Drosophila melanogaster: one gene and its partner. The protein of the gene in region 1 interacts with the protein of each later gene in a pairwise test. Each region holds a gene or a part of one and is shown in the gene's direction. Other genes may lie near its edges. The genes, in order: Trpm and kmr.

The links.
Region 2: the proteins of Trpm (region 1) and kmr interact in a two-hybrid assay, tested with the Drosophila melanogaster proteins (one large-scale study listed by BioGRID).

What each region holds. Positions count from the first base shown.
Region 1 is NT_033778.4:15,306,213-15,311,437, reverse strand, and holds the start of Trpm (transient receptor potential cation channel, subfamily M), read left to right. Parts: upstream 1-2,069; 5' UTR 2,070-2,242; intron 2,243-2,440; exon of another isoform or gene 2,441-2,596; intron 2,597-4,139; 5' UTR 4,140-4,560; intron 4,561-5,225. Other genes in the region: CG8152 (uncharacterized protein), read left to right, coding at 388-1,398. UniProt on the Drosophila melanogaster protein: Calcium channel mediating constitutive calcium ion entry.
Region 2 is NT_033777.3:13,713,112-13,718,255, forward strand, and holds the start of kmr (kramer), read left to right. Parts: upstream 1-2,095; 5' UTR 2,096-2,708; intron 2,709-4,342; exon of another isoform or gene 4,343-4,421; coding exon of another isoform or gene 4,422-4,928; exon of another isoform or gene 4,929-4,937; intron 4,938-5,000; exon of another isoform or gene 5,001-5,065; intron 5,066-5,144. Other genes in the region: Ubc87F (ubiquitin conjugating enzyme 87F), read right to left, coding at 4,422-4,928.

The sequences.
Region 1 (5,225 bases):
AAATAATGTTTACTAGCCTTATAAAAATTTTTATTTTTCATTTCATTTTTGAGTGACTCTGGGATTTCTTTAATTTTATTTTTATTACTTAATATAATTACTTAATTAATATTATTTTTGTATTTTATATTATTTATTTTTTCAAGAACGCAAAAGAAGCTTAAGAAACTTCACATAGAGCGGTATTAATAGATTTTTGACCGACAGTGTTGACTAAATAATTTCAACAGTGTCATTCATTTTTTATCTCCTAAAATCACCATCTCTATATTCGATTAGTTTGGCTATCGACTTATCTCCAAACGATATTTTTGAGCACTACGCAGCTCTGACGCACATCTGCGAAATGTTTATTTACAAAACGAGTTAGCATCATTATTGTCAAAAATGAATTCTCAAAACGAATTGCATCCAAATTGGCTGGCTCTAACAACATTGCCACTCCAACTGAAGCGATTCGTCCGAGCAGGAGATCCGGATTTTATCGCCGAGTCCCCGAAAGCAGTAAAGCACCAAATCGATGGCTTAAACGGAGCAGAAGCTCGTGAGTTCTACAAGGAGGTGTTGGATGCGCCCACAACCTGCCAACCTAACCTTCCAAGTACCCACAAAACTGCACAAACAAGAAGAGAGCCAGAAAGGATCCTAGTCCCCTTCGACAAAAGCAAATTTTTCCGTTTGGCCACTAGCAACAAAGTAGAGGAGCTGTCTCAAATGAAGGCCTCAGAAGAGGATTTAAATTCTCGGGATTCCTTTGGCTGGACTGCCTTGATGATGGCTGCCTGTGAAGGAGCCACGGAGGCAGTGAGTTGGCTCGTGCAGAGAGGGGTCCAAGTAGAGACCTCAGACAAATCCGGAAACACAGCTCTGAAACTGGCCCAACGAAAAGGTCACTTAGATGTAGTTCATCTTTTGGAATCCCTACCCATTTTAGAGGAAACTAGCGAAGAGGATGAGTCAGTTGATGGCAACAACCCCTTTTACTGTGAAATCTGTAAGAGGGACTACAAAGAAACCCCCTGGCCAATTCATCAAACATCCACAGTGCATCAGTTCAATCTAAAGGCTCTGCCCGCTCATAAGCTCCACAAATTTAACATATCTGCCAAAAATCGAGGACTCCAGCTGATGGTGAAACAGGGCTGGGACCAGGAGCACGGATTGGGACCGAGTCAAAGTGGGCGATTGTATCCCGTCAAGACTGTTCTTCGAAAGCAACGCACTGGACTGGGAATTGAACAGCAGTCGGCAAGGGTCTCCCACTTTGGTGCCTTCGATTTAAACGCTGTTAGGAGAAGGGATCCCATATATCAGCCGAGAAGGACGCGAAGCGATATGCAGAGGGAAAAGGTGCGCGAATGGAAGCGAGAACGGTACCTCCGCAGGGTACTAAGTTAAAGATGGCTTACAGAGAAAGCTAACAAGAATTGTACTATAAATTATAAATGGAGCCAGCCTAAGATGTTTTTTAAGAGCAAAATAATAAATTTAATTATTAATAATGGTGATTTATGAATAGTAGATTTATAAATTTCTCATTAGAAGGAATACAATATTAGTTATTCCTTCTTAAGAGGTACCCAATAAAACAACTGATGTTCAGCCGTACCCAAATTATATTATAAATTATATATGAAATTATTGAGTACAACAACATGGACTAGCACACTTACTTAAAAATTTAAACAATTTTTTGAAACTCTATTTAAAGTTGAAATTTTGTTTCGAAAGTTGGACGAGGGAATCACTTGCTAAATACACAAATTGTTAGGTTTATACGCACAAATTAAGCAACATATTAGTAAAAACACATAGTACACACCTGAAGAATGACTATTAATTTTAAATGTGATGGATTTAGGCCTTGTGATTGAAAATATATTTATTTTTGTAAGCACTAAAAACAGAAACAACCGATGGAAAGTGCTTTATGTTTGCAACAGCTGTTAATTTTTAACATTGGACTGTTAATTTACATTTGCGAAACTTCCAATTGGAACATTGGAATATTTCTGAGAGAGAAAATAGTGAAAACGGTATATAAGGAACTTCTCCGAATTCCTGCGCTCAGTCGTATTCGGACTGTTGTACCGTGAGGTCGTTCCCGTCTTTTTATACCGCGGAGTGCAATAAAACTAAGTAAGCAGTGCGTGTTTTAAAGTTCTACTCGCATGCTCGGCAATTAAAAGTGAAAAAGTGGGAGTGCGCCCACAAGGTCACCAACAGCAGTCGTTTCCCTTAGGTAAACAGCTAAAAAAGTGAAGCATTAAAGTGTCTGGAAAACCGTTGCTCGACGGCAAAGTAATTTCTAGATTCAAATGATTGAATTCCGAATTTTGATGCGGTGGCAACCCTGGCGGCCGATCAACAAGAACAGCTGATTGGTCTGAGTGTGTATGTGTTTGTGTGTGACAGCGTTTTTGCGGCGGAGCGTCGCTCCAATTTGTTGTTGGTTCTCCAACATGTGCGGTTCGCTTGGCGCATTTAAATATTTTTTAAAATAATTAACAATTGTGTCGACGTTTTGCTGCTTAACCGTTATCGTGTGTGTACCAGTGTTTTTTTGTGATTCGTGTGAGCCGTATCCCGTTCCCCGGTAAACCCCAAAAAACGCGCAGTTTCAAATTACGCAGAGCTGGCAAGAAGTGCAATTATTTTTGAATAATTAAACTAAATAGGGTGGCCATGTGATTGCATCGTGTGTGATAACAAAACGCTTACAAAGTCATCGCCGTAACACATTTACTCCCACGGACTCTGCAGGAATAGAAAAACTATATTGTTTAATATGCGCTCTGATGTTCAGTGGGCTTTATGGTTTATTTTCGTAGCATTTATTTTGGTGATTTGTTTAGTTTTGCATTGAACAATGTACATATAATTCGGTTCTCTCCGCTCCGCTCTCTCTTTCTCTTTATGTGGTGCCCTCTCGCTCATTGATCGACATTGCCAGCATCCCCTCGATTTTTCCAACCCCCACCTCTCTCCCCTTCGATCAGGGCCCCCTCATGAACTTGCTTTGTTGTTGGGGTCTACCAGGGGCGGATCTAAATCGTGAATCTTGGGGAGAGTAGTACCCTTAAAAAAAAATCAATCCATTGAGGCATTAACTTTTGTACTGCTTAAGAGATATAGCAAGCTATTATCCATAAACTGTAAAATAATTCAAGTTTTGGGATAAAGATTATCCCTTTGGTGCAACAGAAACTATTTCTTTTGGATTTCAGATCTTATACATGATTTACTATAAACAGTTTTTGTGACAGTGAAAATGTAAGGCTTGGAAGGAACCGATTTCAATGACACCATTGACTTCTTTGATTTCATACATGATCTACATGGGGGGTAGTATATTTAAAAAAAAGTTCCCCTCTAATATTGTCCCGCCTCTGGACCGGACCTTACACGGCATTTCTTTCCCATTAACCCCATTCGATTCTATTATTTAGACAACACAATGCTATAACCAGTCAAGTGAGGCGAGGGTGGGGCGAAAGAAACCAGAAAAAACGGAATAGAATATTTTTATTATCTCAACGATTCCCTGGAATGCTGCGAATGTATTATATGCTTGCAAAATTTACACTATTCAAAAGTAAAATGGGCTGAGAGTCATCAAATATATTCAATAGTTGCCATTATGTTTTTCGTAGAACTGAAATATTGTTTACATAATAAATATGCAAATGTTTTAGTTATTAAAAAGCTGAGACTTTAATATTTTTTTGACAAAACTACACTGTTTTTCTTAGTTTTATCACAATAATCCAGCCAGTATAATAACAATTGGAGGTTCTGTGTAGAAGTTCAACTGAATGAGCAGCACAAGGCCAAGCGAATCCCATTTACTTCAGTGCTTGGGTGGAAAAAAATCTCGTAAATCTTTAAAATCGTAAACCAAACAAATGCACAAGAGCCGAAATGAAAATGCTAAATGTTTATTATTGTAAAATAAACCAAGAGAGGCGGCCCGAAGAGCACAGAAATGAGATAAATGAAATGCCAAAACTTCCGGGTCATTGCCTGAGCGCAATGGCAATGCCAATGGCATAAGTAGTCCATTTTTCCATTCTGGGGAAGAGTAGCTCGGCTTTTTGAGGGCCCTTTAATTTCCATTTGGCTTTTTGCCCCCTAACTAGAGCCAAATATCTGGTAGTAGTTAAAGTGAATTGCAATCAAACGAACTAAACAAACACTCGGATATTATATTATGTGAAAATTCCTAATTGCCAAACACCTGAAATTCATCGCGTATACCCTTCGATTGTTTACGCAATACCCAGCCAACAAAATTTTGCGGAGACCGACATAATAACCATTAAAGCAATTACAACAATTATAAACAACAATATCGAAATGAGCAATACAAAACGCATGAACTTGAAAAACAAATTTAAGCATGCTTGATCCAATATTCAGGAGCCCCCAGAGCAACAGCACCAACAACAGCAGCATCCGCATTTTCCCTCATTCAGCATCAAGTATACGGAGAGACAAGTATTTCTGCTCCAGCGTTTTCCATCTGGCCGCGTTTTCCGACTCTACTAAGTGTTTTCCCAGGTAAGACCGTCGAGATAAATGCAAATTACTTTGCAGGACTTTAGTGAGCGTTTGTGCAAAAGCATATCCTATTCACACCGAATCAATTTAAAGAAAAAAGTTTAAATATGGAGTGAAAATTATGGGACATTAGATAGTAAATAAATTAATGATTTTCATTCCATTTTAATACTTAATATCGGTTTAAATCTAATAATATAAAGATTAGTCATGGAAATTATTTGTAATTATTTAATTGTCTTACTGCGTTGCATGTACCTTTGAAGGTTAAAATATCTAAGCGCTTTAAATTCCTAAATAGGCGCACAATTTTTCTATCTTTAAGATTTCCAAGTGGAATGCAAATATTGTTGAGATGTACGAGTGTGTGTAATTGGCAGGACGATGGTTGGCATAAATCTCTCACCTGCAGGAATTTTCTAATATCGCGAAGGTGTTGCATACCAAACGGTGCTTGAAATGAGCAATTTGCGAAAACTTTCGGCATAAATTGTTGCCCAAAATCTCCATCCCCTCAAGCGACGCCTCTGGCTGTGAGTGTGTCAGTGGCAGGACGAAAGGCAAAAAATTAACAAAAATTAGGCCTGAAGTTTGTTGGCAAGCTCGCAAATGTGTTGTGGCTTAAAGGGATAAAGAGCTTTGCGTAGAGCAACGGCAGTAATTAA
Region 2 (5,144 bases), on another chromosome or scaffold:
ACAACAACAAACAAAGGCCAGACGAAATGCATGGCATAAACTTTGCCAACTTGGCTGGCTGCAATTGTAGTTTGTGATGTGGATGTGGATCTGGATGTTGCTCTTCCTGGTGGTTGGGGTTGATGTTGGGGCGGCTTTGATGGCATCAAAGTGAGCTTGTCGTTGTGCAGACAAATGTTACGTACTCTCGTCACACTCTTACGTATGCAAATGTCCCTTGCCATTGCCGGCGCAATGCTGCAGTGCGTCCTCCACAATTGACAATTGTTGAAAATGCAAATGGAAATGGAAATGCCAAGACATGTGCCCAACAGCCACACCAGCAATTCATACATATGCCATGGATAATGGATACTGGGCGCACTGGAGGTGTGTTGGGGGTGGCATGCGGCGCATTGAGGTAAAGACAAATGCAAAGGCGTTGTCTCTACTATCATCATCCGGCGACGACATCTCCTCAGATAAGATAAACGATGGCAAAGTCAACAGCAACAACTGGTTGGCTACGAAATGCACTGCAAGAAAATGCAATGAAGTATGCTAAATACACTTGGCATGAATTTAATCTATTGCTATTGTTGAAAAGTGTGAAATGAATATTCTTAACCAGTGTCTTACATAACATTTCTGTATTTTGTTGTATTATAAAACGAAATACAAATAGTTTAATCAAATTTAATTATATAATATTATTTTATTATTACTTTTTGATATGAGTACTTGACATTTTTCTGAGTGCATGTGGGAGAGGTCAGTGTAAATAAGTAAATACGACATTCGTAGCCCAGAGCAGGCCGAAATAAATTCTCAAGTGCAAATGAGGTAAATGACAAGAGGTACGAAACCATCATAACCTCTGACCTGCCACCGATCCCCCCTCCACCAACGAGCGACCCATAAACGCCCACTTTGCCGAGCATTTGACAGTCGAGAGCAAACATGTCCAAGATGAACATCCATTTTGCATTTGGGAAATGAAAAGCGGGAAAGCTACAACTGACGTACATACTAGCATACTAGCAGACAGCTTGTCTATGCAGCAGGCCATCGCCATCCAATCCATCTGGGCGTGCAAATGTATCTGTATCTGCTATCCAGTATCTGGCGCTCGTATCTATTCCGCCTGTCGTCTCGTCCGCCTTTTGCAGCTTCATCAAATATTTAGCGCCAGGCAGGCGGCTTTATCTCGAGGGAACTGGAAGGAGGGACAAATAAGCGCATTCATTGTGTTCGTTCAGTGTAAATACGAAACGGATGTAGCACTGCTTGGAAAATAACAACTTTGTAAACTTAAGAGCCTAACTCGACTAGTTTGGTACTGTAGAAATATGAAAAAAAGGAAAAACTATTGTACACAGCTATTTGTAAATATCCTCGATGGATAAATTTATATAAAAAAGTTAAGACTTAAGACATACTGTGTACCTTTATTCAAACTAAAACATTTATACCATATATAATAGATACCAAGAATATTCCAGAGATTTCTCTTGATATAGAATTTCTGAATTTCTGAATGAATGGCGTTGTTTTATGTGCAGCTTCTTTTTGGTAATTTCATCGATTTACCAATTTATCACTTTCCTGCGGGCAATCACTTGTTTTGTTAGTTTTCCTTGAGTACTTTTGTCCACTGCACTTAATAGCATCGTTTTAAAATGTGAAAAGGGAAAAGTTTGCGAGCTGTCCAATCACTAATGAATTAAACAAACATTGAGGGCATCGACGTTATTTCTCGTTGAAACGCAAATTTAATAAACCACCCACACCTATGAAAAAACCACCGAAACGCAATATACCCCTGCAGCAGATGCTATCTGGAGAGCAGTCCGAACTACCCTAGTCAAAATGGAAAATTGGGAGTGTGGGGCAGTGCCAACGACCAGCCAAAAAGCCGGCAACAACAAACGCCCGCGCTGTACCACGCCGGCAACATGTTGCGTGTTGCTGCCGTGCGAGCAACATTGCAATGTTTGCACTCGCGTGTGTCGGTGTGTGTGCGTGTTGTTTATCTCGCTGCCACTTGAAATGTTGCCAAGAAGCCGGCCAGCAACATTAGCAGCATTTCGAAAACTTGTTTTCAACGTAGTTGGGTTTAGTTTACTTTGAGACGGCGACGCAGGTGGACGTGTCCGAGTGCGAGCGAAAGAGAGCGATAAACGCGAGCGGACCGCGTTATAAAATATTACAAAAACAACAACAACAACAACGCCAACAAGAGCTCAGTTCATTTCAGTGTTTGTCTTTAGTTTTATGGCGCACGCTGCGCGTCAGGTAGTTTTTCAGTTGTATATATGTACGTATGTACATATAATGTTTTTTTGTGATTCGTCTCGCGGCAATGTTTTATGGCTGACAAAACCATCGAGCGTGTAAAGGTTTTGCACTAACCGTACGACGAAAAAGAGGAAAAAAAAAAGAAGTGATGTACATTCTACGAGTAGATGTAAAGTGCTAGTGTTTACCCTTTTTTGCCGGGATTACTCATCATCGCATCGGCGCATCATCGACACCATCATTATCATTCGTTTACTAGCGGGCAACTTTACGAAATCCCAAAAAACCAGTATCGCTGTGCCCAAGTATCTGCAAGATACGTGAGGCAGTCCAGACCACATATTGGAATTTACTTAACACGTATGCAACACGCACCCATACCAGTTAACATCGAGCGGGACCCATTGGATTTTGGAACCGAAAACTACAGGGTAGGTAAAATCGCTTGTAAATCGGGGTTTCTTCTCGAGAAAAACAAGAGACGCGAAGCAAACACTCACACACTTGACCAGCTGCGTTTTTCCACCCTCACCATAAAACCTAATGATTCCGAACTACCTGTTTTTGGATTGACCCTGGTTTTCCCATTAGCCGCCAGAGGAGATTTCACTGCACCAGCGCATACCATATAGTCCATATATCGGAAAGCTGTGCGGCTATTTATAAATCTAGATACCCTGCGTTTTGGGGCCCAGGCTCAAATCCGGTTTTCCATACCCATATATCCCCCAGCCCAGCCCAGCCATCAATTCAATTTCTACTGGCTGAGTGAGTTTTTAACTCACAGAAGAATCTCCATCTCCAGGTCGAGCATCTTCTTCGCTGAAGATTTCTGAAGAGAGCTGGTTTCTTCGGGCCGTTTTCTTTTCCCTCGCTTTGTTTTCTTTCGTTTCGTTTTCGTTTTTTACTATTTGCCCGATCGTCGTGGTGATCATGATGCTGTGGCTTATTGCCGCCAAGATTTTTTCCACTTTTTTTTTTTTATGATTTTGCTTTTTGCCGATTGAAGGTGCATGGCCTTATTTACCCAGTTTCCAAATCGCTCACCGATTTCTGCTTATTCTGTTTTGGGCTTTGTTTTGAGGTATTTGCTGAATCACACGGGGATCATTTGAATCTTTTAGCCAGACAGTCACTGTGTGGAATTGCGATTGGGATTTTATTTGAGAGTCACACCCAGTCCGTGGCGAATGAGCTAGTATCCCGCTCCGGAATTGACTCACGGCCAAACAATGCGACATGCGGCGAAGTGCTGTGGGGCCACGCTGGCTTGGGCAAAAGAGAAAAAATCAAAAATGCAAAACTTGTTGCTAATAAACAACAATTACAGCAAAAGCAAAAACAAGTTCAGCTAACCACAAAAATGCTGGCAGCTAAACTCTAGACTCGTTGCCCAGGAGCTCCGCCGCACTCCACTACACTCCACTCACCAAAACAAGTCGGTGTATGGAGCCATTTTCTGATGTTGCTGGCTCACACTACTGGCCATTCGCCACCAGCAACAACCAACAGCAACACCAACAACCAACAGCAGCAACACCAAGAGCAACAGCAACATCGGCAATTTGTTGTTGCTGCACTGGAAAAAAGGTGCTCAAGGAACGGACATAATGTTAACATTTTAAAAGCCAATTCACTTCTAAATCAGACCACATTATGGTCCTTTTATTGACCATAAAGTGTAGCCAAATGAAGAGAAATGCTGAGCCCCTTCTCTGGAATTTGGCTCAGTGCATGTGTAAATTTTTGTCGCCATGTGAAGACCATAAAAAGCGGCCAAGTGGCCAGCTGCCTCAGCTTTCCTCTGGAAGCCACAGAGCAACCACAGAGAACGTCCATAACTGTGTCAGTGTGCAACTAGAAGAGGTCTAAGCCTATTAAGCACACTGGCTTAAGATCGGCCTATGCCAGGAGGTAATACCCGTAGCTCCAAAGCGATTAAGTGTAATTAATGCCGACAGGTGTCACTGAATTGGCGCAAGCTCAAAGAGATTGAAATGCCCTAATTGGAGGCTCCAATTAGGAGATATTCTCCCCACTTTCGACACTTCAAAGTGCGAGATTTCCACTAGTTGCTCTCTTTATTCACGTGATTAGCATGTGTGCCGTTCCTGATCATCATGTCACTGCCCAGTCTATCCGGTCTATTCCACCTCCTCCTGACTACGGCGGACGCACCTGGTGACCTTGCGCTTGAATTCCGCATAATTCTCCCGGTACTCCTTGGCCGCATCCACATTGGCGGCCGACTCGTCATTGGGATCGGTGAGCATGGAGATAACGGAAAGAAGGATCGTCTCCACGGTGTGGACCGGTAGCCAGCGCTCCTCGGCCTTCTCGTAGCCCCACTTATCGTCACCAGGTTCGTGGAGGATCGAGATGCAAACGTCGCCGGCCTTGTCAATATTGGGATGCCAGATTTCGGTGATGAACTTCATCTTGGGCGGGCGCAGTGGGTACTCTTTGGGGAAGATCAGGTGAGCCTTGAAGAAGCCGCCCTCGTATAGCGTATCTGGGGGACCGATGATCACCACCTCCCATTTGAAGATGTCGGAGTCGCTGACCAGACCGGCGGAGAAGCCCTCGACGGGATGGCGTTGTAATTCGGAGAGCTGGCGATTGAGCAGTAGCGATGCTTGCAGTTCGGACATGTCACTGGACTTGGGGGGGATAAGCACCATCAGTGGGATAAGCCATTTAAGTACAATCACATTTGTACTTACTGGAATTTTGTTCAATTGTTTCGAGTCACTTTCTGGTTTACTTCTACGGAGGCTGAACTACGCTCAATGCGACCTGTCAGCTTGCCGAGAGAAAACTCATGCTGCGACTACTTCGATCTATAATCACGATCATGGTTTATCATG